Linked DNA regions of Oryza sativa Japonica Group. The main gene of each other region encodes a partner of the protein of the gene in region 6 in a complex. Links are inferred from orthologs where the notes say so. Each region holds a gene or a part of one and is shown on either strand. Other genes may lie near its edges.

What was found.
Region 1: NAD(P)H-quinone oxidoreductase subunit T, chloroplastic (region 6) and photosynthetic NDH subunit of lumenal location 4, chloroplastic share a complex: the UniProt entries of both Arabidopsis thaliana proteins name them as parts of the chloroplast NDH complex. The link is inferred for Oryza sativa Japonica Group from reciprocal best matches to the Arabidopsis thaliana genes NdhT and PnsL4.
Region 2: NAD(P)H-quinone oxidoreductase subunit T, chloroplastic (region 6) and NAD(P)H-quinone oxidoreductase subunit O, chloroplastic share a complex: the UniProt entries of both Arabidopsis thaliana proteins name them as parts of the chloroplast NDH complex. The link is inferred for Oryza sativa Japonica Group from reciprocal best matches to the Arabidopsis thaliana genes NdhT and NdhO.
Region 3: NAD(P)H-quinone oxidoreductase subunit T, chloroplastic (region 6) and photosynthetic NDH subunit of lumenal location 1, chloroplastic share a complex: the UniProt entries of both Arabidopsis thaliana proteins name them as parts of the chloroplast NDH complex. The link is inferred for Oryza sativa Japonica Group from reciprocal best matches to the Arabidopsis thaliana genes NdhT and PnsL1.
Region 4: NAD(P)H-quinone oxidoreductase subunit T, chloroplastic (region 6) and photosynthetic NDH subunit of subcomplex B 4, chloroplastic share a complex: the UniProt entries of both Arabidopsis thaliana proteins name them as parts of the chloroplast NDH complex. The link is inferred for Oryza sativa Japonica Group from reciprocal best matches to the Arabidopsis thaliana genes NdhT and PnsB4.
Region 5: NAD(P)H-quinone oxidoreductase subunit T, chloroplastic (region 6) and photosynthetic NDH subunit of lumenal location 5, chloroplastic share a complex: the UniProt entries of both Arabidopsis thaliana proteins name them as parts of the chloroplast NDH complex. The link is inferred for Oryza sativa Japonica Group from reciprocal best matches to the Arabidopsis thaliana genes NdhT and Pnsl5.
Region 7: NAD(P)H-quinone oxidoreductase subunit T, chloroplastic (region 6) and NAD(P)H-quinone oxidoreductase subunit S, chloroplastic share a complex: the UniProt entries of both Arabidopsis thaliana proteins name them as parts of the chloroplast NDH complex. The link is inferred for Oryza sativa Japonica Group from reciprocal best matches to the Arabidopsis thaliana genes NdhT and NdhS.

Annotation. Positions count from the first base shown.
Region 1 is NC_089036.1:32,085,055-32,088,927, forward strand, and holds photosynthetic NDH subunit of lumenal location 4, chloroplastic, read left to right. Parts: upstream 1-1,479; 5' UTR 1,480-1,554; coding exon 1,555-1,956; intron 1,957-2,190; coding exon 2,191-2,283; intron 2,284-2,389; coding exon 2,390-2,450; intron 2,451-2,578; coding exon 2,579-2,647; intron 2,648-2,825; coding exon 2,826-2,893; 3' UTR 2,894-2,945; intron 2,946-3,055; 3' UTR 3,056-3,373; downstream 3,374-3,873. UniProt on the Arabidopsis thaliana protein: NDH shuttles electrons from NAD(P)H:plastoquinone, via FMN and iron-sulfur (Fe-S) centers, to quinones in the photosynthetic chain and possibly in a chloroplast respiratory chain.
Region 2 is NC_089035.1:42,962,927-42,966,248, forward strand, and holds NAD(P)H-quinone oxidoreductase subunit O, chloroplastic, read left to right. Parts: upstream 1-1,393; 5' UTR 1,394-1,458; coding exon 1,459-1,699; intron 1,700-1,849; coding exon 1,850-1,905; intron 1,906-2,031; coding exon 2,032-2,097; intron 2,098-2,212; coding exon 2,213-2,254; intron 2,255-2,332; coding exon 2,333-2,392; intron 2,393-2,489; coding exon 2,490-2,519; 3' UTR 2,520-2,822; downstream 2,823-3,322. Other genes in the region: phosphatidylserine decarboxylase proenzyme 2, read right to left, coding at 1-45, 191-421. UniProt on the Arabidopsis thaliana protein: NDH shuttles electrons from NAD(P)H:plastoquinone, via FMN and iron-sulfur (Fe-S) centers, to quinones in the photosynthetic chain and possibly in a chloroplast respiratory chain.
Region 3 is NC_089037.1:9,604,744-9,608,372, reverse strand, and holds photosynthetic NDH subunit of lumenal location 1, chloroplastic, read right to left. Parts: upstream 2,409-3,629; 5' UTR 2,289-2,408; coding exon 2,247-2,288; intron 2,171-2,246; coding exon 2,074-2,170; intron 1,988-2,073; coding exon 1,904-1,987; intron 1,761-1,903; coding exon 1,687-1,760; intron 1,577-1,686; coding exon 1,454-1,576; intron 1,322-1,453; coding exon 1,250-1,321; intron 1,065-1,249; coding exon 968-1,064; intron 815-967; coding exon 705-814; 3' UTR 501-704; downstream 1-500. Other genes in the region: E3 ubiquitin-protein ligase CSU1, read right to left, coding at 2,914-3,592. UniProt on the Arabidopsis thaliana protein: NDH shuttles electrons from NAD(P)H:plastoquinone, via FMN and iron-sulfur (Fe-S) centers, to quinones in the photosynthetic chain and possibly in a chloroplast respiratory chain.
Region 4 is NC_089036.1:31,695,870-31,699,353, reverse strand, and holds photosynthetic NDH subunit of subcomplex B 4, chloroplastic, read right to left. Parts: upstream 1,988-3,484; 5' UTR 1,882-1,987; coding exon 1,792-1,881; intron 1,688-1,791; coding exon 1,643-1,687; intron 1,549-1,642; coding exon 1,395-1,548; intron 1,301-1,394; coding exon 1,245-1,300; intron 1,156-1,244; coding exon 1,084-1,155; intron 937-1,083; coding exon 808-936; 3' UTR 501-807; downstream 1-500. UniProt on the Arabidopsis thaliana protein: NDH shuttles electrons from NAD(P)H:plastoquinone, via FMN and iron-sulfur (Fe-S) centers, to quinones in the photosynthetic chain and possibly in a chloroplast respiratory chain.
Region 5 is NC_089039.1:192,030-196,325, forward strand, and holds photosynthetic NDH subunit of lumenal location 5, chloroplastic, read left to right. Parts: upstream 1-1,496; 5' UTR 1,497-1,533; coding exon 1,534-1,563; intron 1,564-1,662; coding exon 1,663-1,851; intron 1,852-2,603; coding exon 2,604-2,754; intron 2,755-2,858; coding exon 2,859-2,947; intron 2,948-3,525; coding exon 3,526-3,580; intron 3,581-3,667; coding exon 3,668-3,753; intron 3,754-3,839; coding exon 3,840-3,992; 3' UTR 3,993-4,229; downstream 4,230-4,296. Other genes in the region: uncharacterized protein, read right to left, coding at 321-499. UniProt on the Arabidopsis thaliana protein: NDH shuttles electrons from NAD(P)H:plastoquinone, via FMN and iron-sulfur (Fe-S) centers, to quinones in the photosynthetic chain and possibly in a chloroplast respiratory chain.
Region 6 is NC_089045.1:6,122,221-6,125,421, forward strand, and holds NAD(P)H-quinone oxidoreductase subunit T, chloroplastic, read right to left. Parts: upstream 2,022-3,201; 5' UTR 1,965-2,021; coding exon 1,630-1,964; intron 1,189-1,629; coding exon 768-1,188; 3' UTR 501-767; downstream 1-500. Other genes in the region: pyruvate kinase 1, cytosolic, read left to right, coding at 1-28, 241-399. UniProt on the Arabidopsis thaliana protein: NDH shuttles electrons from NAD(P)H:plastoquinone, via FMN and iron-sulfur (Fe-S) centers, to quinones in the photosynthetic chain and possibly in a chloroplast respiratory chain.
Region 7 is NC_089041.1:5,276,820-5,279,791, forward strand, and holds NAD(P)H-quinone oxidoreductase subunit S, chloroplastic, read right to left. Parts: upstream 1,555-2,972; 5' UTR 1,464-1,554; coding exon 726-1,463; 3' UTR 501-725; downstream 1-500. UniProt on the Arabidopsis thaliana protein: NDH shuttles electrons from NAD(P)H:plastoquinone, via FMN and iron-sulfur (Fe-S) centers, to quinones in the photosynthetic chain and possibly in a chloroplast respiratory chain.

The DNA.
Region 1 (3,873 bases), on a different chromosome or scaffold from region 6:
AAAAGGGGAAAAGGAGGGGGAGAAAGGGGCTTGCCCCTTTGCCGATTCGGGAAAAAGGGGAAGGGGAGCGGGAGCGTCGCGGCAGAGGGAGGAGGGGCGCGGCTCCGTCCCTTGGCGGCTTGCGCGCGGAGTGGCGGGGGCCGGGCGATGACGACGACGATGACGGGGGGACGGCTTGGAGCGGAGCGGCGACATTGGCGACAGGCGCGTGCAGAGGCTGACGGCGGCGGCGACCGGGCGGTCGACCACTCGGCACGCGCGCGCGGCTTGCAACGGGCGGCGTCCGCGCGGGCGCGCGCACGCGAACACAGCGCGCGGGAAGCGGCAGCGAGGGAGCGGTGAGGGAGGACTTGGCTCGGCGCGGGCGGCTTACGCGTGCTGGCTCGCGGGGCCGAGCGGAGGGGCGCAGGGCGCGGCTCTCGCGCTCGCGCGTGGCGCGCGAGGGAGGGGCGCTCGGCGCGGCGACGCGCGCTCGCGCGCGCGGCGCGGGGCGGAGCGGAGGGAGAGAGGGAGAGAGCGGGGGCGCGCCGGGGAAAGCGAGAGAGAGAGCCGGGAGAGAGAGGGGAAGATGGGCCGAGGGAAAATCGGCCCATCGACCCTGGGGGAGGCAAAATGGACTTTTGCGGAGGAATTTGATTTGGAGGGATTGGATTCGGAATTGAACTCGACGATAGATCGGGGATTGAGATCTTGAGATGGCACGGATACTAGACAACAAGCAAAGAAACAAATTTCGCAATTAGGGTTTTTAAGAGATAATTTCCCCGCTAGGCGCCACGACGGAACGGGCGCTACAGCAGGTCTGGCGAGGGGGGCGGGGAGGCCGGCGAGCTCGCCCTCATCCCACCTCCAACCCCTCCCCGCCTCCTCCCTCTTCGTATGCACTCGCTGCCGGCCTCCCCGCCTCCTCCCTCTTAGCATACGCTCGCTGCGGGAGCTGTGGGGGATGGCGGCGTTCTGGCTGCAGGCCAACCCCATCCTCGTCGGTGCCGCACCAAGTTGCCACATCGCCACCCGTCGCCAGCTGCCCTACCAGCCTCCTCCGCAATCCGCACCCGCTGGCCGCCCTGAGAAGAGAGAGAGGGAGGGAGAGGAGGGGAAAATGGGAAATAAGAGAGAGGTGATGATATGGCATCTTACATGTGGGACCCACGCGCTGACTCAGCCGTCACGTCAAATAAAACCGGGGTCAAAACCACCGAAGGATCTAAAGTGAACGGTTTTGTTAGTTGAGGAACGCCTGATATCTGGTTTTGCGGTTGGGAAACGATTTTGTAACTCGATGACAAGTTGAGGGACCTTCGGTGTACTTTTTCCTGGAATCATCTGTCGTTCCACGGGCCACGGCCGCCGTTTGGCGACGAGACACGCGGCTTGGCCCGCAAAAAAAACGAGGATTCCTTCCTCGGTCCTCGGGTGTTGAGTTGGGAAAGCCCATGGCCCGTGACGACGTACGCGGGCGTTTATAACGACGCGACAGAGAGGTGCCCGCGTTGCAGCAGCCACAGTTTGGGGATAATCCGATTCTCTACTCCCCAAGTGACTCACTCACCGATGGCGCCTCCTCCTATCTCCTCCTCCCTCTCGCTCATGGCCTCCAACCCAATCCCGTCGCCTCCGGTCGCCAAACCGGGCAGGCCGCTCACCGTCGCGGCGTGCAGCAACAGCAGCAGCAGCTCCTCCTCCTCCTCCCCGTCGTCGACCTCGTGCTCGGCTGCCTGGAGTCTCCCGGTGGCGACGTCGGCCGGCAGGAGGGGGCTGCTCGCGCTGGGCGCGGGGTTCCTGGCTTCCCCTGGGCTTCTGTGCCCCGCCGGCGACGCCGGAGCGACGCGCATCGAGTACTACGCGACGGTGGGGGACAAGCTGTGCGACATGAACGTCGTCAAGTCGGGGCTCGGCTACTGCGACGTCGAAGTCGGCACCGGCGCCCAGCCCCCGCGCGGCCAGCTCATAAATGTCAGTTCCGACAGAAGAGTTTCTCGCACTTTCTCTAGAAGAACCTGTGTTTTCTGAATATGATTAACTCCTGTATGGAGTAATTAAGCATTGGCAGATCATAAATTTGCCCAATTTGCATCAGTACCGATCCTTTAGTTAGTTCGACAACGAATAAACCTGCCATTTTTTTCTCGCCATGACACTGATAGGAGTTTCAAGTGTGTTAATTGGAGTTGTGTTCATGGTTGTAAGGTACACTACACTGCAAGATTTACTGACGGGATAGTGTTCGACAGCACCTACAAGCGAGGACGGCCACTGACAATGCGCCTTGGCGCAGGCAAGGTGCGCAGCTTTTGTTCATTGCACGTACATCTTCGATCGTAGCAAGCATCTTATGTAGTTATGCAAGGAATCTTATTGTTTGGTTCGTTCGCATTTTCATTCTCAGATCCTCCGAGGGCTTGAACAGGGAATCAGTGGTGGCGGTGGTGTGCCACCCATGCTCGTTGGTACTGTCAGAAATCCAGAAATAATAAGCATATGCATCTCTTTGTGTGTCAAATGCTAAAAATATAGTACTGCTTTTATTTTTCTTAATCACATCGTGTCTCTGTTGAAAATCGCAATAACATTACAGGTGGAAAGCGCAAGCTTATGATACCTGCAACTTTGGCATACGGACCTGAACCAGCAGGTTGCTTCTCAGGTAATAACGAAAGAAAAAAAAAAGTAATCAAACAAGTAATCTTAATTTAATTCTAGAAATTTGAGACCAGATTAAGTTTCATGTATTTAACGATGTTTCAGTGCTATCTGTCTGGCTCCCTTATTAGCATTCGCTAGAAAAAATATACAAATTTACAGAAGATTTACTTATTTAACAGGAGACTGTAATATTCCCGGCAACACCACACTCCTATACGACATCTTCCTGGTTGGATTTTACAAGTGAGCATATGATGAAAAGGAATATGCATGACTTGAACAGACTAGGTGCAAACAAGGTATGGTGGTGGTATTCTGAACCTGTCTGATTTTTTTTTCATCTGAAAACAGTATCCCTTGCCTAAAGGGGTTGTTGTTTGTTACATAAGCATGTTACATTCTCTGGCAGATTTTCGAGTAAATTTTGGCGTTTCATACAAGAGGCGGGACTACGGACAGATGAAGAGAAAGGGTGCGACATGCCTAAGCCCAGACGCCGAAAGCAAATGCGTCACCGGAGCTCCTTGGGTCTCCAATACGCAGAGTACTACATTTGCAATCTGTACCAAGAAGTGAAAGGATATATAACAAACCGGTCCTCTGATATACTATCAAATTGGTCTTATGTTTTCTAGAGAAGAAAAGTCTTGTGTTTGTGTAAGTATAACGTTGTAAAGACATGTCTCATTATTCATACTGTCATTGGTACAGCCAAACACAACAAAAATTCCCATCCTTTGTGGCAAGTCCTAACTAAATGAAGTTGAACTCTGACTGAATATCGATTGACTGGTGACTTCCAAACCTTCAACAGTTCAAGCAAGCTAATCGACTGTATCAATACTAATGTACTCAAAAAAATGTCGAAAGTTCGTGTCAAAGCACATGTGCAGTAGTAGCTTTGAGCCTTTGACTGCTGTCTGCACTGCAGTATTGCCACAAGATAATTTAATCATAGGTTTGTTAACCATCAAATCGAAACATGCATTGTTCAGACTTCAGAGAATATCCTAAAATCCTTTTATGAAACCAAAGAACACCCAAATCGTGAGAGTTGAACTATCGATTGACCGGTTCAGAGCCAGAACTGGTAGGTGAATGAGGGAAGAAAAGGAGAGCTGCCATTTCCGTGGCAGGAAGACTCAAGAATTCCAAAAGCTTCTTGTCGGTTTAAAACGAAAACCTTTTTCGTCAGATGCTCTGAATGCTGCTCGGTGTCATGAAATT
Region 2 (3,322 bases), on a different chromosome or scaffold from region 6:
CAGCGAGAGGCACGCGATGAACTTGTCCTTGAACTGCATATCCGCCTGTGGCCACCAACCAAATCAAAACAACGCGTACAAAACCACAGCAGCAGCGTACACAGACGGAATGAATCAAAACCACCGATCCCCAATTCCACCCCCCTCCGCTTCGCAGCCGCAAGCACACACACCCAACCCGGCCCCGTACCTTCACTATCCGGATGCGCGCGATGCCGGCGAACTCGTCGACGGCGATGGCCCTCCCCGTCCCCGACTCGGAGGCGTGGGCGTCGCCACCGGGACGCCCCGCGCGGTCGCGGTGGCGCAGGCGGAGGCGGCGGCGGAACCGCTCGAAGCGAGACGGCAGCGGCGAGGGCGGCGACTCGCCGTCGCCGCCGCCGCCGCCGCATGCATTGTGGCGCGAGGGCGAATGGCCCATCTGTCAGTGAGATGGAGTAGTTGGACTCGACGGCAACGCGCAGGCGCAGCGAGAGACTTGAAAGGCGATGACCTTTTAAACGCGAGGCAGAGTAGGAGGAAGGGTCATCGGGTGGTCCCCACATGTCATACAGATAATAATTAATGGCAGTTTCCACATGGCAGTTGTTATACATCTGGGAAAGGCAAAAGGCCGTACCCAAGCAGGAGTCGCCTGGGTGTTCGTTAGACTGACATGTGGGGCCAGGATATGCTCGGATCATTCACTACCTGGACATGCGGAAGAAGATTCATGATTTTTTTTTGCTTTTTTCCAGCGCAACCGTCGCAAGACAAAATAATGGTACGCGTGGGGCCGGTTTGATCGAATATTTTCGAAGGGTTGCTATGTTTTGCTAAAGTAGAGGTCAAATGGGATGGATCATGGATGGATGGGGACGTTGAAAACGCGGTGGATTCATTTGAGGAGGAAGGATCCTTGGCATCGGTCAATTGTGCATGTTACGACAAGTGCCACAAACCAGCAGAAGCAAAGGTAGAAGATGACCATTGCAAAAAAAAAAAAAAAGGGGGGGGGGGTGTCCTCCTAAGCTTAAGCTAGGCTTTGCATTGCTCTCAACGCTTTTCTCCCTTCCACTTGCCGCTGTTGTTTACTCTTTCCAAGCTAAATAGCGACATAAAACTAAAGCGGAATTCCTCATTTGCTCGCTCATTCGCTGAGGTCGAGCATACAACAATCTAAGACGGTGTCATGATCCATGACCTTGACTCCTCCAATTCTCCTTTATTTTTTCTGTCTATCTCTCTCTCTCTTTTCTTTTGCTAATTCATTCATATAATATAATCATCATATATGGGCCTTACCCAAATGAGGTGAGCTGGGCCTGAAGCTTTGTGACAGTTGGCCCAAAACTGAGAGCGCTAGCTCAGGCCCAGTGGTCACCTTATCTGCCGCGTGCAATTCATGTGGCACATATTTACGTGCACTTCGTCACTTTGCTTTTTGCCATTGCCATTGCCAAAGCTAAGCTTCTCGCCATGGAAGCTCTCCTCTCCTCGCCGCGCGCTCTCTTCTCCGTCACGCCAACCGCGTGCTGGCCGGCGTCAGCCAGGAGGAGGAGACGTGTTGCTTCTCCTGTCAAGGCGGCCGCCGCCGCCGCCGAGCCGGCCGGGGAGGAGAAAAAGCCCGCCACCGGCGGCGCCGCGGCGGCGGCGGGAGACGGCCAGGCGGCTGCGCCGGCGCCGAAGAAGATCCTCAAGAAGAAACCTGTCTACTCGAGTAATGAATACGCTTTGCAACTTTGCATTTCAGCTCTGAGTTCTGAACAAGCATCAAAGCCATTTAGCTTCTTGTTTGTTTTTTTGTTTATACTTGATTAACCAATCCATTTATTTTCATCCAATTGATTTGGTTGATGATGCGCCACAGTGAAGAAGGGCCAGATTGTGCGCGTCGACAAGGAGAAGTACTTGAACAGCATCAACGTAAGCACACTGATCGATGCTACTGCATAGATGCTTCATTCATTTCTACTCTTTGTGCTGTAATTTCAGTCTATGATTTCCTCCCCTGCACATGATTTTTTTTAAAAATTTGTTTCATTGATTCAGTATCTGTCAGTTGGACACCCGCCTTTCTTCAAGGGGCTAGACTACATATACGAGGACCGTGGCGAGGTAATTATTTAGCCCATCTTACTGAACCTGAAGTTAATTTCAGCTAATTAAACCTAGCAGTAAGAACATCTTCGTTCTAGCTACGGTCATAATCTTGTTCGTCATTACCGTGCAGGTTTTGGACATCAGAATCTTTGAAACAGGGGAGTATGCCCTGGTGAGTCACCTGCCACTTCATTTCTTCTGTATATTTTGTAGATTTGGACTTCTGAATCTCATTCATATGTTTGGACAGATCGCTTGGGTTGGAATCCCAACTCCACCGGCATGGCTGCCAACTTACATGCTCATCAAGGTAATTACAGTATCTCTAAGTCCATCACACATGCAGCATTGCCAAAATGCAGAATGTACCATCATTTGACCACTTAATCTTAACACTATTTTTACAGTCGGATAAACTCGACTACGAGAGAATATGATATGCACAGGATCGAAGGTTGCGTTCAAGCTAGCTCAGCAATCGGGTGGGAGATCGGTCCTTGGCCTGCCAGACTAGCGTTTTTTCAGTTGTTTTCTTCCCTGCATTGCAGATTCTTCCCCTATTTCGGTTCTTCCGACGATTAATCTGCAGATGTTTTCAGTCGGTTCGTGATATATGACAATGTGTTGTATATAGATGTCAATATGAGGCGATTTGCTGTTGCCTGTTGCTCCGCATCTAAATTAATTATACTGAACTGAAAAATTTAACAAAAGTTAAGTGATGATATTCAGAGCTATTCAGATTCATTTTTTGAGATGGCTAATTATCGTGCCATCTGATCGTATTCTGTAAGCTTCAAAAAAAAAATGTTAGAGATATACTGATATAGAATAGGCTAACGGATGCACATACCCATGAGAACGTCTCTTTTAAACACGTTCGTAATGCATGAAATAACTAAAAGTTCTACTGAAAGAATACTCATTGTACGTGTAACTGCGGATATCAGAATTTAAACTCTAATGAACATACTTCTTCTGTACGCACAAATCCATCACTAGGCCCCGTTTGAATCCTCTAGGAAGAGAGGATATTTTTTTTTTGATATTCGTGGCACGCTTTTCAAACTGTTAAACGGTGTGTTTCGTGCGAAAACTTTCTATACGAAAGTTGTTCTAAAATATTAGATTAATCTAGTTTTTAAATTTGTAATAATTAAAACTTAATTAATCACATGTTATTACCACCTTGTTTTGTTATGAAGCTCTTTTGGAACGCATGTTATTTTTACGAGTTAAT
Region 3 (3,629 bases), on a different chromosome or scaffold from region 6:
TGATCAAGTTCCTTTTCGCTCTGTTCAGCCAGGGGTCATGGTTCTGTGGCTTACCGTTTTGTCGGAGGAAAAATGTTAGGTGTCGCTGGCGCTGCTCTGAATGAGCGGAATGGTGACCTGGTCTTGACAACAAAATTTTAGTCTGAAGATTCAGATGACTAGCTTTGTTGAAACTCTAGGAACTTATTCTGGAAATAGTTAGCGGGTTTGGAGGGGAACTTATTCTGGAAATAGTTAGCAAGTTTGGAGGGCATTGTAATTGTTGTAATATATGAGTTGCAAACATTCTTTCTGAGGCCTGTGTACTTGATTCCTTTCGCCTCTGTAATGTATTGGTTTGATCGTGCACACGTCTGTATAGAAACGCTGTTGATCTGTTAAGTCCTTGGCTCCGGAGACTATGGCCTAATGGTCTGCCTTTTTAACTGATGGCTACTCGTCGCTTGCAAGTTGCAACTGATGGTTGAACCGATTCAATCAACATAATTAGATGGCTATAATAGAAAAATAGCTCTAATAGCATACACACAATTAATTAATTGAAGTCTATAAGGTAATTATGCATCCTTTTTCCTGGAAGCTGAGCCAGGGTGTTCGATCCAGCACTTTTTCTAGTGGTAGATCAGCGTCTGTATGTATGTATGTATCTACATGACTACGAAGCAATAAAATAAAAGATATTTCTGCAATTGAACTGCCTCCCATCACGCGGTGAGGTCGGACAGCTTGAAGGAGTCGGCGACGACTTTGAGCCTGTTCCTCAGCCTACTCCATCGCCGCTCGTTCGCCGTCACGATCAGTGTGTAGTACCGACCTGCCATGCCATTGCCATTGCCATCAGGTTAACCAGCTTCTTCTTATGAGAGGAAAAAAAAATACATGCATGATGAAATATACAATTTAATAGATGATGATGATATATATCTCTGCGATCTTGTGGTGAGGAGGCATCATATCAATATCATACCGTTTCCAATGGCAACCGTCGCAAATGCGGACACGCCGTAGCCCGGGGCCTCAAGATCGTACTCAAATGTCCAGTAGTTCTTGCCATCCACGGTGCGCTGCGAATCACAACAACTCAGTTGCTTATTTTGCTTGCAGAGTTGTTGCAGTCTTTGTTATAGCCATTCCAATGAGATCAGACGTAAATTAATCAGCGAAAGAGCAATGCAGCGACAGTTTGGTATACTCAGATAGATCATATGGCTAAATAGTATTGATTGAAGGAGATGGATAAATGGCAAACCTCTTGCATGTCATAGACAGTTGGTATTTGATTTGGAGCAGCATAAACATTGTTCACCAAATTGAAGATCGCCTGATAGAGGAGTATGTAAATTGTCAGAATAAAAAAAATCTATGATGTATAACAAAAGAAAAGGCTAAAAAAATTGCCTGATTCCTTTACATTACCAAGAAAGATATTATCAGATATCGCATGAAATCCTACCTCATCCATTGGACCAAGGTCACGGATATCTGTTTTTGTAGTAGGAATGAAGCCCACACGCACGCACTGCAGCGCTACATTACGATCTTTGAACGCTGAATCATGCCCCAGGAAGTCGAAATCCTGAAGTGACACATCAAAACAAAGGGCATACATCAATACCATGTACCACCGAAAACACAGTCATTGGAACTGACATCTCTGTTCTTCAAGACGAAAATATTGCAACCTACCCTCCAATCAGCTGGATACAGGTATGAATATCCATCTTTTGAATCCACATAAGACTTGTAATTCTTTGGCACTTCTGGAATATAGGAACAATCCGAGTTAGTATCATCTCATGGTGCCATAAAGGCTTAATGGCTACTTGAGAAGTGGGAACTTGTATGTAACATGCAGACAACCTAGTACTGAAATAAAACCATGCGACAGTTCAGATGGCCATGCCTTCAGCATATGCAGAGCTGCTCTTTAGCAGACCAGTGGCTAATGCTCCAGCACCAAGCAGAGCTAATCTCCTCCTTGTCACATCTGTAAGATGGAGAGATAATCAGCCAAAAAAAATGTTAATCTTCAGAAACAAAATGCATCGAGAGAACTGACAGAGAGGAATTTACTCTTTTCATCCGAGGATGCTTCACTCGAGCTAGCGTTGACGACTGACAGAGGAGACGCATTCAGCTTGCTGGTAACAGCACAATTTGGAGCAACCAACTGAAAACAACACCGATATAAAGTGGTGAAATAAACAAGATTCAGAAAACGATGAGAAGAGGGCACAAGCACACACCTGCTTGGAAACGGAGCAGATCAAATTCTGCAGGCTTGCCATTTCACCTGCAGGAGTAGCTATGAACCTGAAGAAAATACGTGTTCTTGCCTTCCTCCAGTCAAGTTATCCTTTGCTGCTAGGACTGGCTCGTTCGCTTTTCAAGTGTAGTCTGTGTGTCTGTGTGAGTGGAGGGCAAGGAAGCCAGGTCAGCATTTCCATTATCCTCATTAGAACTTTTGGCCTTGTCTCGTACTGAGCACTGACTGACAAAATGGGACCAATCCGTTCCTGTTGTGATTGTGGTGGAGATATGTGAGAGCTTTATGTTTTTCCAATTCTCTTTTTACCTTTTTTTTTGTACATTGACTTTGGCTGAAAAACAATATATGTACACACACACACACACGATCCTACCATCAGATCATGCGATACATATTCGATAGCTTCGATGTAACAAGAAAGATGATTTTGACTGTGCTTCAAACTTGGTAGATAAATAGTACAACAGCTGCGAACTAACGCATTTAGCCATAGCAAATAAGCAAAGCTGCAATTAGCAACCATAGTGCCACTAGCATAACAAGACTGAATTTGCTCCAGACTGTTCACAGCGAAAGGGGATGCTTGAAACAAAATTTTCAGGTTAACATAAATAATATACAACAGCAGCTAAGATATTTTGAGGCTAGTAGTTCTTTGGGGCAGGTTTCACTAAACCCAGTCCAGAACCACTCCCCAAATGCTTGAAATCTCTCGCCTCTAGACGCTCATCATGGGCAGCGAATCCAGTTCCTCCTTTTTCCAAAGGAACGAAATTCCTCTCCTTGCACGGTTTGTTGCACACCAAGCAGACCTTATCAGTTACAAGGAACTTGTCAGAGCACTTCTTGCAGAAGACATGGCCACACGTGCTGATCGTCACCAGGGACATGGTGTTTGTTAGGGTAGACTTGCAACTGGGGCACATGTAGCTCTTCTCCACCGACTTCTTGTTTTTCTGGTCGGTGTTTTCTTCAGTGAAGGAGATAGGGAAGAGCGATTTCAACTTGAGCTTCTCCTGTCCCTCGGGGCAGATTGTGTCAGTGGAGGGAGCTTCTACTTTGGCAGTAGCTTCAGGTGTAGCTGATGGAAGCCAGAATGCCTTCATGTTGCGAAGGGCTTCCTCCTCAAAGGAAGTAACCTTCACGCTGTTTGCTCCATGAAAACCATTCTTGTCTTCAGAGCCGCTGCGATCGTGGTATTGGGGGACGGCTCCATGATTCTGCTGATCAAAAGCGTCCAACTCCTTGGACTTTTGCAGCATACGCTTCTCATCCTCCTCTTCCTTCTCCAGCTTTTTCTGGGCCTCATGAGCAGCAAGTTTGCTGGAAGAACAAGAATTAACACTCAGAATTCCATCCG
Region 4 (3,484 bases), on a different chromosome or scaffold from region 6:
GTCGAGAGACCTGTGTCGAAATAACTATTGTTAGTCTCTGATGACTGATGAGCTGATCGACGGAATACTACGAAGTTCTGCACCCTATACAAGTAGTATATACATGTGCTACCTACTGTGGTAGTGTGGTCTGTACTGTACGTTGAGTGCAGACTGATTGCTGCTGGTTCGCGGCCTGTAGTGGAGCAGCTCAAGTATGATCAGCGGTTCTTCTTCCTCGATCGAATGGCCGTGGCCGACGATGGCGTCCAATTCCCAGCGCGCGACCACCAGCGCAAGCAGGCCGAACTAACGGAGTTTTTTGGGCCAGTCCATCACCGAGCGGCCCGGTAAAGGTAGCCCATAATCGCTACCATTCTGTACTGGACCCAAATAAAGTTGGCCCGACACCGTGAGAGCCGACAGAACGAAAGCATATTGGATCGCCACAATTTGGTTGCGATCTGACAAAACTTCCGTCTCCACAGGGCACGTATATCCACCATGGTGTAGGTCTATATCAGTCGATTTACACAATTTATATATTTTGGAAGCAATATCCACCATGGTGAACGGTACAGGTTCTTTGATTAACATGGAGTAGTACATTCCTTCTTTTAGCCTACACTACAAATGCAATATAATGCATTCATGCAGACGGAGCACCTATTTGCTTTCCTTTTGAGTCTGATGCCAACATTTACAGGCGCTATCAGGCAACTGTGTATCTTGCTATTACACAGCCGCTCTGTACGGTATTACAGAATGCAGCCGCATCGCGCCATGATCATGCAGTCATCCATCCATGCGCAATCTCTCATTCATCCATCAGTTTGTAAGCTGCTCCTCCTTGGCTGCTTCCTCGAGTTCTCTGAGCCCTCCGACCCTCTGCTCGATCTCCTCGAGTAGCTCCTCCCTCAGGAGCTCCTCTCTTGCAGACGCCTCCAGGTCCTCTTGCTGCAGAATCAACCATGGGAGAGTGGAGATCGATCAGCAAAATGACTGGTTATCTTAGTAGCTTCGCACAACTAGAGTTTGTCTAATTGTCTGAATGTTCTTTCTTCGTGATAAAGGAAAAAAAAAAAGCCGTAATGAAAGACATACCCGGTCATAGTACCAGTGCACGGTGCCGTCACCCCCTTGTCCCCTGTACGCCTCACTGTCGTAGAAAGGATCCTGTAAATTCACACAAGACCGTGTCAGTAACACATATCGAAGATGTAATTTCGTTCCAAGTTGTAGTGGCATATGTTCTGCGTGCTTGCCTTCATGGACGCAAAGAAGCAGATGCCCCAGACTGTGAAGAAGGCGTAGAAGGTATCTACGAGACAGACAGAGAAATTTTTTTGTGAAAAGTTTCAGTTTCAGACGTAACAACAAACTGCAGGAAAGGTGAAACGACGACGACGACTCACAGACGCTCTTGAGGGCGGCGTCGCTGAGATGCCAGATCGACTTGTGCACGACGTAGTCCCTCTGCAGGTCGACGTGCTCCACCATCGTCACCATCAGCGTCACCACGTCCAACGGGGACGCGTTCGCCTTCACTGAACCCCTCCCGGCCGATTTCTGCAAACGCTAAGACCGCATTACTTTGCCTCACCAATCACCACGGATTTCTTCTTTCTCGGTGAAAAAATTAAAATGCACTGGGACCTTTCACCTTGCAACGGCTGGAGTTGGACCTCGGGTCATGGAATCCACCGAGCTGCAAATTTAACAACAACATTTGAACAAGTAGGTGAAATTCGCAAGGAATTCAGGAAAGCAGTTTTTGCATGAACGCGAAGGGGAGAATGGACGGTGCGGTACCGTTGCACGGCAGCGGCCATGGAGCTGGGCTCTGTTCGCGGAGTGAAGAGCAGAGAAGTGGGGGGACGACTTGAGCAGCGGCAACGCCATTGCTGGTAGGCTGCTGCTTCAGTAGCGGGTTGGCGATGAGCTTGTTGTTGTCAGTGTAGCGGGCTCACGTTTGGCTCAGGGGTGAAACCTGTAACCTGTAATCTGTATGGAAAATTTTAGTGGATAAGGTCAGACTTTTGGGTGGCCAACCATTGTCTGATCTTGGGCAGACGAAAAGCACAAGAATTTTGGGCTTGGTTGAAGCGGGCTTGAGCGTTGCTAGGCCTTGCCCGGTCAAGGTCATGTTTGGGCCGGATGGGATTAGGTTGACCCGTGGGCTCGTGGCCCGTTACGTGCATCCGTCCGCCATTTCTTGGAGGGCGCTACGGCTTGGCGTCCGGCATCTCACCAAAAATCGGACGCCCATGCAGGCATGTGAGAACGAACCCTGTCACTGTAACGTATGTGTCTAACTGCTTCTTTTCATTCTTTTCTCCTCTCTTTAGATATTTTTTATCCTAAATTACTTATCCAATTTACGATCCGATCACACCGTTCTATTCGTTGCAATTAAATCTTTACAATGAGATATCACATGATTATATTATGTCAAAAGAAAAACATGTATTTCAAAACGTTAAAACAAAATGTTTCGTACGTGATAGTGATATGTTTCAATATGTGTCATCGGTGTGTTTCACAAAATTCATGAAACTAACTGCTACTACTCTCTCTCCTCTCTCTCCACCTCATCCATGCACACATGTATGTATTTTAGCAAGCTTCAAAATAATTTTTCTCTTAAATTACTTATCCAATTTATGATCCGATCACACCATTATATTTGTTCTAATTAAATCTTTACAATAAAATATCACATGATTTTATTTTGATAAAAGAAAAATATATGTTTCAATTCGTTAATACTTGTTGTTTCATATGTGCCAGCGACATGTTTCAACGTGTATTTTCACCATGTTTCATAAAATACTTAAATGTTTCGGTTGTTGATTTTTTTTGTTTCACCATATATAACATAATGTTTCACTTGCTGGTCAACGCTCACCCCCGCACTGCCGCGCGCATACGCATGCATGTAGGCCGCCCATGCTGCATTGTTCACGTGCCACGTTGCTTGCCTCCCCTGTATGTGTTGCTTGCGCTGCTGCTTGCATACGCTCCCTCCCTCTCCCTTCTATTATTACATGTGCCTAATTTTTTCCTCAAATTTTAAATATTTTTTTCTCCAAAATTATATATTCTGATCTAAATTTCAATGATACCATTAGATTCATCATCATTAAATCTTTATAACAAGATCTCACATGGTTATATTTTGATAAAAATATACATGTGTCTCAAAAAATAACTTGTCTCACCATTGATAGAAAACTGTTTCATCACATGTACACAAATATTACAACTCACCTCGTGAATTGTTTCAAATTTAGAGAAATACAACAATTTACTAACTGAAACAATCACAACCACTACACAAAACGTTAAATACCAATGAGTGAAACATAAAAAAAATCATATGAAAAATAAAATATTTTTGCACAAATACTTAATTATGTTGAAATATTTTTAAATCGGACGCTACAAATCGTACGTTCAATATTTTTTCAAATATCGGAGCCTACCAATCGTACGTTCAATATTT
Region 5 (4,296 bases), on a different chromosome or scaffold from region 6:
CGATTGATGTGTGTGTATGTGACTATCAATCATGTCATGTCATGTAGGAGTAGTATATATGCACAATAGTAGCGTGATAATTTGTGTTATCAACAAGTGAGTCAGCTTGACATTATTACACAGAGAAAGGGAAACATGGGCTCGCGGCTATCTATCAAGTCTAGCTAACAGTAGGAATTCCCGTTGTTTTTGACCTATGCGAATTAATCAATAAGGAAAGGCGGATAGAGCAATAATAGGTTAACAAAGTGAAGAGAGGGAGAGAGAGATGTGGATCTAAATCTGGGGGAAGAGGGAGATGAGATGGGGAGGGGACTGACGCGGAACCCTGGTTGTAGAGGTTGAGGGTGACGGCGAGGCGCTCCACGCCTGGACCCGGGCGGGACAGCGCAACCTTCTTCTGTGCTACCACGAACGGCGCATCCTGCCCGGCGGCGGCGGCGAAGGGCACGAGGAGGAGGAGGAGGAGGAAGAGGAGAGATCGCCACTGCTGCGCCATCACCGCTCACGGAGATTGCTTTGCTTCTTCCACCTCACCTCGACCGAGGCTATTGTTACATTACATGTGTGTTCAAGCCCATCCCATCTATTACATGGGCCCCCGTGAATACTATGCCCATCAGCCCATTTTACTACCTCCTGCCTCCTATGCGGCCCCCTCCCCTCTCTACCAAAAAAAAAATAATACCACCTCCTATTCTTATTTTTTAGCATTGTCCATATTTATATATGTGTTAATAGATCTAGACATATATGAATGTGAAGTCTTATAACCTAAAACTCAAGAAAAATATTTACTCAGGTCCTAGTTTTAAAAAATACTCAAAATACATATAAGGTTAACAATTAATTTATTCATCTAAGGGTTTAAAAATATGAATTGTTTATGTAGCTTACTTACCCAACATGAAAGTTTATATATAAATTTCAAGTTTTCACTTTTTTAAAAAAAATATTTTTGAGTTTTTTATGAGAGAGAAATTACTTACGCAAAAGATAATTTACATTAGAAATGAGGTATGTTCTCGAAAAAAGTTACATTAAAAACAGCAAAAAAAAAATTCTTGCAGTATATAATGGATAAATAATTTTTTTTAAAAAAATATAAAAATGTAAAATCTTAAAACTAGTGCATAAACTAGCATTTTTTTTCTTCTGAAACTTATGGTAGGATAAATCAAATATTAACCTTATATGGTGTATTTTAGGTATTTTTGAAAATAGTATAGTCCGATGGTATATTGTATAATAATTGATAACTTACCGATATATTATAGAAAGAGACACTGTAAATAAATAAATTTTAAATAGTTGGATTGGGACAAATAGAGTTGATTTAACAGATGCTTTTGGTCCCAAAAATAAAATATAGTACTTCCCCCAATGAAGAAGGTGTGTGTGATTATTGTATTTCCTGTGCACACATATGCAAAAATGCCATCCATTCATCCCAGTGCAATGCCCTATCTACCTATCCAATCCCAATCCACCTGAGCGAGAGAGAGAGAAAGGGTCTCCTCCTCAACATCAACAATGGCGGTCGCAACCTCCTTCGCCACACTCGTAAGCTCACTCATCCATGGCCTCTGCTCTCCTCTTCTTCCCCACCGAGCTCTCAATCTTATTATCGTCGCTCTTTCTTCTCTTGTGTTTGCACTGCAGGCCATCGCGCGGCCGGCGGCGGAGCGGGCCCTCCTCGCCTCCAAAACCCCCTCGCCGCTCCTCTCCATCCGCACCGGCACCGGCACCGCACGCCTCCCCTCATCGGCCGTCTTTGGAGGTTTCACTCCTGCGCTTTCCGCTGCTCACAGCCGCGCGCGCTTCGTCTCCTCCGCCACCGCTGACCCCAAGGTACTGTGTCCCCGGATCTTCTTCTTTTATCTGCCCTACATATATCTTTCTATTGCCGCACCGCATCCATTCTTGTAATCCTGTCTAGTAGTATATCAGTCAAATTTACTACTCCACCTTACTGGACTATTATTATGCAATCAGCCTCCGCAATACCGGCCCCTGTTTGTTGCCTCTTTGGAGGAAGAGATATTGGGTTAGCACAGATGACCTCGACCTTCCAACACCATTAAATTAAAACTAATACTAGTAATGCCTTTGTATGTCAAATTTTGTTATCAGATTTTTAAATCACCAGGTGAAATTTATGCTACCAAAATTGCAGTTTCAGGCTTATCATCACCAATGCTTTATTATGTATTCACCTGCTCTGATTAATAATTTTAGTTGCCTCGACCATAGGGTTCTGCTACTTACAGGTCTTACCTTGTATGTGCACCGAATGTAAACACGTTATTCATCATCAGTGACTGCCTGCAACATTGTGAGGAAACACGTGTGCCCTTCTGTACTACTGAAAGCTGGGTTTTCCTTTCCCATGTGCACTATGCGCTTTCATGTTTTCCTCCACTAGATGTTAACTTACGATATACTACCTCCTTCCTTTAATATATGACGTTGGTTAGTTCAATTAACATCATACATAAAAGAACAGCGCAAGTATCGATTATTCTTACCCTATGTGGGAGAACTGGATACCACGCTTCAAATTTATTCTTTCAGTTTTGCTAAACTTCTCCCATACATTGCAGGAAGTGGACCTCCAGTCCAAAATCACAAACAAGGTGTACTTTGACATAAGCATCGGAAACCCTGTTGGGAAGAACGTTGGGAGGGTCGTTATTGGCCTATACGGGGATGATGTTCCCCAGACCGCAGAGAACTTCCGTGCTCTTTGCACTGGTACAAAGGGCTTCTTGCTTTTCTTCTCTTCTGTCATCTACTACTTTACAGGATTACCCAGATTTGGTGCATGATACACATACCATTGCCCTTTTCCTTTTCAGGAGAAAAAGGGTTTGGTTACAAGGGGTCCAGTTTCCACCGTGTCATTAAGGACTTCATGATTCAGGGAGGAGACTTTGACAAGGGCAACGTATGTCTTCATTATTTACTTTCTTTATAATCTACTCCTATGTTGCACTTGTTCCTCTGTTTCATCTGACAAACTCTATTGGAAAAAGTCACATAGTGTAACATTACTCACAACACTGAATGAGCTCATGTGTTTGTTTCTATCTATCACCATTGAGCCAACTATTTCTCCAAAAAAAAAAAAGTTTGATTTGTTTTATCAATGTTAGCGCTTTATGCTGTTTTGGATAGAAAGCTGACCTATATATGTGTTTTGGATCATTATACAACTTTGTGTTATGCACTTCAGTGCTTGCCCTATGGTGTTTTAGATCATTATACTGCTTTGCATCATGTACATTATGAGTATGAATTGGTAGTTTGTGATCAGCATAATGTGTATGCAGTGATTATTGACTTCATGGCTAGATTACAAGGAGATTAGCACCAAATCCTTTTTCTTTAAATTGATGGCCTAAATTAAATCATGCAGCTGCCTGGTTTCATGAATTATGAATTTTTGACCTAGCCTACATCAAATCATTCAGCTTTCAACTTCTGCATGTGGATAAAGTAGGTTTCAAAAAATGAATATTTCAGGGTACTGGAGGGAAAAGCATATATGGCCGGACCTTCAAAGACGAGAACTTCAAATGTACGTCTGACAAATGACCTAATCTGATCGTTCTTTCTGCTTCTTATCTTGTGGTTGTGCTGATTATATGTCTTGTAATGTTTGTAGTGGTTCATACTGGACCTGGAGTGGTCAGCATGGCCAATGCTGGGCCAAACACCAATGGCAGCCAGTTCTTCATCTGCACTGTCAAGGTAACACTGTACTGATATGTTCACTGTGTACTAGTGTCGAAACTCACTCAAAATTACATTGCGCTGACTGCTACCTGCGAATGCAGACACCTTGGTTGGATGGGAGGCACGTCGTGTTTGGGCAGGTTATTGAAGGCATGGACATCGTTAAGATGATCGAATCGCAGGAGACTGACAGAGGGGACCGCCCGAAGAAGAAGGTGGTCATCAGTGAGTGTGGGGAGCTTCCAGTGGTCTAATAGGTGCCAGAGGGCTAATCTTCTTCCCCCGGAGACTTTGCTGTTTTTGGTTTCATAGTAAGCTGTGAACTTATCGCATGTTCTCCGCGCAGTCAGAGATCATGCTGAGTTGAGGCCAAGATTTCTAAGTTGAGAAGAATCCTCTATTGTTCGGCTGGAATAAAACGTTCTTACCTGTCGAGGGTCAGGAAATAATGTTGTGGTTCATGAAAGATCAAATGTCTGTCTTTTCGTGCATACGCAGACTAAAGTTACTCCTTTCCCAATACCTTTTGTTGCTGCATACTCTCTCTGTCCTAAAAAA
Region 6 (3,201 bases):
CTACCCTTTGATGGCGAGTACTGAGGAGGTATGTTGAAGTTGCTAAATACTAGAGGCACCTTCACTTTCTGCTTTTTTGCAATGCCAAAACTTGCATCTTGCGGTAGCCCACAATGCAAATTTTCTTTGTAGTTCTACAAAAATGATAGCTGCATTATCCCCTCTTAATTACCATTTGGCATTTTTAAAATTTCAACTTGTTCTTAATATGTACATATGCGTGAACACTTTCTGTAACAGGCTGAAACTGGTGGGCTCACCAGGGAAGAGTACGGGATAAAACTTGCACAGAACTATGGTCGCTCGGTTGGTATGCTAAAGCCCTATGACAGGTTGATCATTTTCCAGAAGATCGGCGATTCATCTGTTGTCAAGATCATCGAGTGTGACAGTTCGTAAAAGATTAGACACCTACCACATTCCGTCCAAGAGTTTCAACCACACAGAGGCGGATTACCTTTTTGCTTTCTTTCTTGTTTGACATGATATTGAGACTAGAATAGGGAAGGCCAATTGTGCTGTTTGGCAATTTACCCATTTTAGGTCCATACTTGCTTTTTCAATAATTTCATTCAAGAGCCTATTTACACATTGCAACAATCCAATTTTGTGGACAAAATACAGGATACAGGGACATTTGGTTACTTGGTGTGGATGTGCAGTACTTATTTCGCATTACATCATGATACACCCGTACGTATAGCAAACAACATCTTGAGAGTGTATATGTACCTGAAAATTTCTTCTTCCTGGCATGAATGAATAATCTAGTACTGCTCCTTGAAGAAGACGGCGTAGATGAGGCAGAAGACGCAGAAGATGATGATGCCGATGTCGATGGTGAGCGCGGTCATGGCCTGGTCGCTGAGGTCCATGTTGCGGCCGCCGAGGCGGTCGACCATGTCGGGGACGGACTGGTAGCTGTCGAGGTCCTGCTGGTAGGGGTCCTCGAGCCTGGACCGCAGCTGCTGGAGGCGCCGGCTCTCGGCCTCCTGCGCCAGCGTCCAGTCGTAGAACCGCCGCGACTCCTCCCGGCTCAGCACGTTGTACGCCTCCCGCAGCCGGATGAACCGCTCCGACGCCTCCCGCAGCGGCAGCGACGTCGTGTCCGGGTGGTACTCCTTGGACAGCCGCCGGTACGCCGCCTTTATCTCCTCGATGTCCGCCTTCGGTTCCACCCCCAAGAACCTGGGTTTGATTTTTTTTTTGTACAAGTTTTTTGTTGGAATTTGTTCAGGTAAGTTCAAATTCTATAGGTAGTACCAAAAATTGGCAAATTGGCAAGGTTTTGTTAGGAGAAAAAAAAATGTCCCTGCACATCCCCTAAAAATTGTCTCGAAACCAAACAATCTCCGAAAAACATCAATGGGTTTTCTGGCTAGCTCCAAGCTCAAAGCCTCGTCCCCTTCTAGTTATTTTGGTATTAAGTTATTTACTAATATTCGCTATGCATTGGAGTTAACACTCAATTGGTATTGTGACTAGGACGGTGATTTTTTTTTTCATACGGGTTGGAAATTTCGAGACTTATTCAATTTTGGTTGAAGTTTGTCCAAAATTCAAGTCATTTTGAAATTTGTTCAATTATGAATGAAGAATGGGACAAGAGAGGCAGCAGTAGCACTCAACTGGTAGTGAGACTCGGACGGGTTGTTGATGAGGTCGGCGAACCTCCCACCGAGCGGCTCCTTCTTCCGGCCGCCGCCGTCCTTCTTGGCGTTCCCGCCGACCCACCCTTCGTCCGGGTCCGACCAGTGTATCCTCGTGTCCACCGTCTTCTTCTTCCCCTGCGCCGCCGCCCCGGCCGCCGTAGCCGGGGACGGCTCCGTCTCCGGCGCGCCCCCCGCCGCCGCCGCGACGACGACGGCGACGAACGCCCTCCCGCTCCCGCGCCGGCCGTGGACGCTCGCTCGCCGCCGGTGGAGGAGCGGCGTGAACGGGGCGGATGCCGTGGACGCCGCCATGCGAGCGAGGCCGGAGTGTGCGTGCGTGCGCGCGCGCGGCGGCGCACGAGTCGAGTCGAGTGCTTTTGTTTTTGTTATTATTTTTTGAGGTGGTGGTGCATTCCAAAGGAGCTCGAGGCTGAGGAGGTGTGCATACGCTGCGGCGCGAGACGTGGTGAGGAGGCGATGAGGTGGGGCCCTGGCGTGGGGCCCACCTGCCAGCATGGCATCTCCCGGGCCCACGTATAGCTTCACGCCAAGAAAATGGGATCCGGCTCTAAATTTTAAGTGCTAAAGGGAGAGGAGCAAAGTAAATTGTATCCTGTGCTACCGTGTGGAACAGTGATTTTGCAGTTATTTACTATAGTATTAGTGGTAAATAGTAACTATACTGTACATAGATACTGCTCGCGTGTTACTCTAGAGTATTGTAGCGATCAATCTCATCCGTTCGTTATAGATCGGACGGCTGAGAATACCCTAAAGTCACAACAGCGTGCTTCTCTGACTGCACTCGAAAGATCTCAATCCAAGAGAAACGATGGAGATGAAAAATTTTAGCTATCCTTCCAACCGATTGTTACTTACGCCTATACCACATAAAACTAGAAAAATAAAGCTATCCTCGGGTAAATTGTTTTTGCACGCCACAACGAAAAGGCTAATCCACATGTTTCGTTTTGGGTTTTTGGCTTCTTGCCAGTTTGGACATGGATGGAGATTGTTTACGTGCATTGGCTCGTAGCCGGATAAATAACAGCTATATCCTCAGACCTCAGTCGAAAGAAGGGATGAAATGGCTAACGATAAATGGAGAAAAATGGGATAAAAAAATTGACGAAATGGAGATGCGGGGGATCGAACCCCGTGCCTCTCGCATGCAAAGCGAGCGCTCTACCATTTGAGCTACATCCCCGAACATGTAATTCTTTCTTTCTTAGTATTATTTTACTTGTAAAAATTCTGAGTTCGGCAGGGGAACATCTTTCTCAGGAAATGAAAATGAAGCGGCGGATTACATACGATTAATTAACTATTAGCTAAAATTTTAAAAAAAAACATACTCCCTCCCTTTCTAAGTATTTAACGTCGTTAACTTTTTAAATATATTTGACCATTTATCTTATTAAAAAATTTAAGTAATTATTAATTATTTTCCTACCATTTGATTCATTGTTAAATATACTTATATGTATACATATAGTTTTATATATTTCATAAAAGTTTTTGAATAAGACGAATGGTCAAATATGTGCTA
Region 7 (2,972 bases), on a different chromosome or scaffold from region 6:
GATATAGATGGTGGTAATCAATACAAATTGTACTCTGTTTGCAAAACACTATATCATTATTGTTACTTCACTGTCTTCCTTTACCATCCTTTTAAATCTGCTGCTACACTTATTCCTGAGTAAGGCAGGTTATATAGAAGTAAAGGCCCTATCTTTTCATATACTCTTTCAAATAAACAAAAATCATGGGAAACCAGCTATCAGGCAAACGTAAACTACAATGCATAGATAGTTGCTGTGCGAAATACTGCGGGATTTTGAAGTCATGTCAGGAATAACGAACACTTGAACATTCATACTCTGTACAATTTACAATCATGAAAGCCTGGTTACCTGACTGTCATAGCCTCTTCGCTTCAAGAAGCAAGAGATGATAATTCAAGTTTGTAAAAAAAAAAATTAATCCTACCAACATAATGAACTATGGCAACTGGTGCCCTTGTAGGCATTTCACTAGCAATCCGGACCAAACGTGATCAAATTGATCAAACATATAGCAATTCAACAAAGAAGCTAAACTTTTATCTCCGAATCGTTTGTTTCATAGTGCCAATTCACACTAAGATTCCAACTGTACATATAGCAATTAACAACAACACATTTACTCACTTCGAAATTACTCATCGAATAGATAATATATATATATATACCCCTTTCACTTCCATCATCTAAGAAAATATAGATAGCTGTATACATACAAGAAGAAGCAGAAGCAGCAATGGTGGTCAAGCCGCGGCGGCGGTGCCTTCCTCCTCCTTCTTCTTCTTGGCCTCCTCTCCCTCCTCCTCCTTGGCCACATCGTCCTCCATCTCCGCGGCGAGGGACTCGAGCAGCACGGACTTAGGGTTCACCATGGGCGGGCCCTTCTCCCTCCCCTCGAGCTCGTCGAGATCGAAGGTGATGAGCCTGTCCCAGATCCCCCCCTCGAACAGCACCCCGACCTTGCCGTCGGTGACGCGCTGCACGATGCCGCAGTACATGTGGTAGGCGTTGTTGGGGTTCTTGACGAGCACCACCATCCCGGGGAGGAACAGCGGCAGCTCCGGCGCCCTCGGCCGCTCCACCGTGGCGGCGGCGGCGAGACCTTTCCTGTGCGCCGGCTTGGGGGGAGGCGGGTTCTTGGCGACGAAGTCCTTGAGGCCGACCTCGCCGCCGGGGAATCCGCCGGTGAGGCCCATCATCTCCTTGTCGAACGCGTCCGGGTCCACCCCGGACGCAGCCGGCGGCGGCGGTGGCGACTCCGCGGGCTCGTCGGAAGAAGTGGTGGTGGATGGCGGCGCGGCGGGGGAGTCGGAGGCGAGCTCCTTGCGGATGCCGACCTCGCCGTTGCAGAGACCCCGGCCGCCGAGGAGGTCAGCGACGCGGAAGGTCGCCGAGGGAGGGGGCAGGCGGACGATGCGGGGGTGGTGGTGGTGGGGCAGCGGCGGCGGGCGGAGGAAGGAGGCGGGGGTGGTGGGCGCCATTGGTGGAGCAGAGCGGAGCAGAGGATGTGTGGAAGTGACGAAGCCTTTAAAGCCTAGGTGGATGAGGACCGGGGGTGGCTAATGGGCGACTGGTACTGCTATACGGAGTACAGTATATACTTAAAGTACTACTAGTACTACTACCACTGTACTACTTTAAACTACTACTCCCTCCGTTTCATAATATAAATTATTCTAGCATTTATTACACGTTAACATCAATATGAATATGAAAAATACTAGAATGACTTACATTGTAAAACGGAGGAAGTAGTAGTAACTGGAGTACTACTAACTACTACTACTAAGGCTGTGTTTAGATCCAAAGTTTGGATCTAAACTTCAGTCCTTTTCTATCACATCAATCTATCATACACACATAACTTTTCAGTCACATCATCTTCAATTTCAACCAAAATCTAAACTTTACTCTAGAATAAACACAGCTAACTAGAACTAGTACTAGTACTACTAGTACTGGTAACTAGGACCACTACACCACTACTACTGTTATTATATACTACTAGTACTATTTAAAAAATATATTTTATATGTAAATATATACGCATATACAAAAGTTTATATATAACGTATAACAAAGTTTATGATATATATACAAACTTTATATATGTTCATTTTAAAAAATAAAAAAAAATAGAGGAAAACCATCACGTATATAAATTTTATATATACACTATACGCATATATATAAACTTTATATACGTATGTATATAAACTTTGTATACTGTATATACAAACTTTATATATGTGATGTTTTTTTTTTAAAAAAACAAAGAACCGAAGAAAACAACCATAAAAACCGGCGAAAAAAAAAGAACGCGGGCCTCCCACTGTGCGCGGCCGCCGCGCCCCCTCCCCCTCCTACGCGCGCCACGCGTCCATCCGCGCGGGGTGAGGGGGCACGCGACCAGTCGCCAATTAGGAATTTCGGATGAGGACCTCGTGTTTTTCGACTGAAAATTTTACATTTAAGCCCCTTTTTATTTTTTTTCATAAATAGGCCCCTAAAGTTACTATCCGTAAGAAATACTTCCTCCGTAAAAAAAAACCCAACCTAAGAGGAGATGTAGTGTCCAGATTCGTTGTACTGGGAGGGGTCAAATCCCCTCTTAGGTTGGTTTCTTTGGGATGGAGAGAATCACAAAATAACTCAATCTAGATTCGTTGTCTTAGAATATGTAACATCCTATCCTATATTGAGTTATTTTGGGACGGAGGGAGTAGACGACGAGCCCAAATCACGTCAAATGTGGTATAAGATCTTCACAGTCTACCTCTCAGCCAACTCATGTAGTAGTTAGCTCTTAACTATAAACTATATGGTTCCCATGTTTCTCTCACATATTTTCTTGGTTCCTATGCCTAAGCTAGTTTTAAGCATACCACTCGCTTTCCCTCTCTCTCTCCTCTCTCATCCACGTTAGCATTCAACCTTCTAACGGCCTTTTATTATACTTGCTCTTACAGTGAAAGGTACTACTAAGGCTG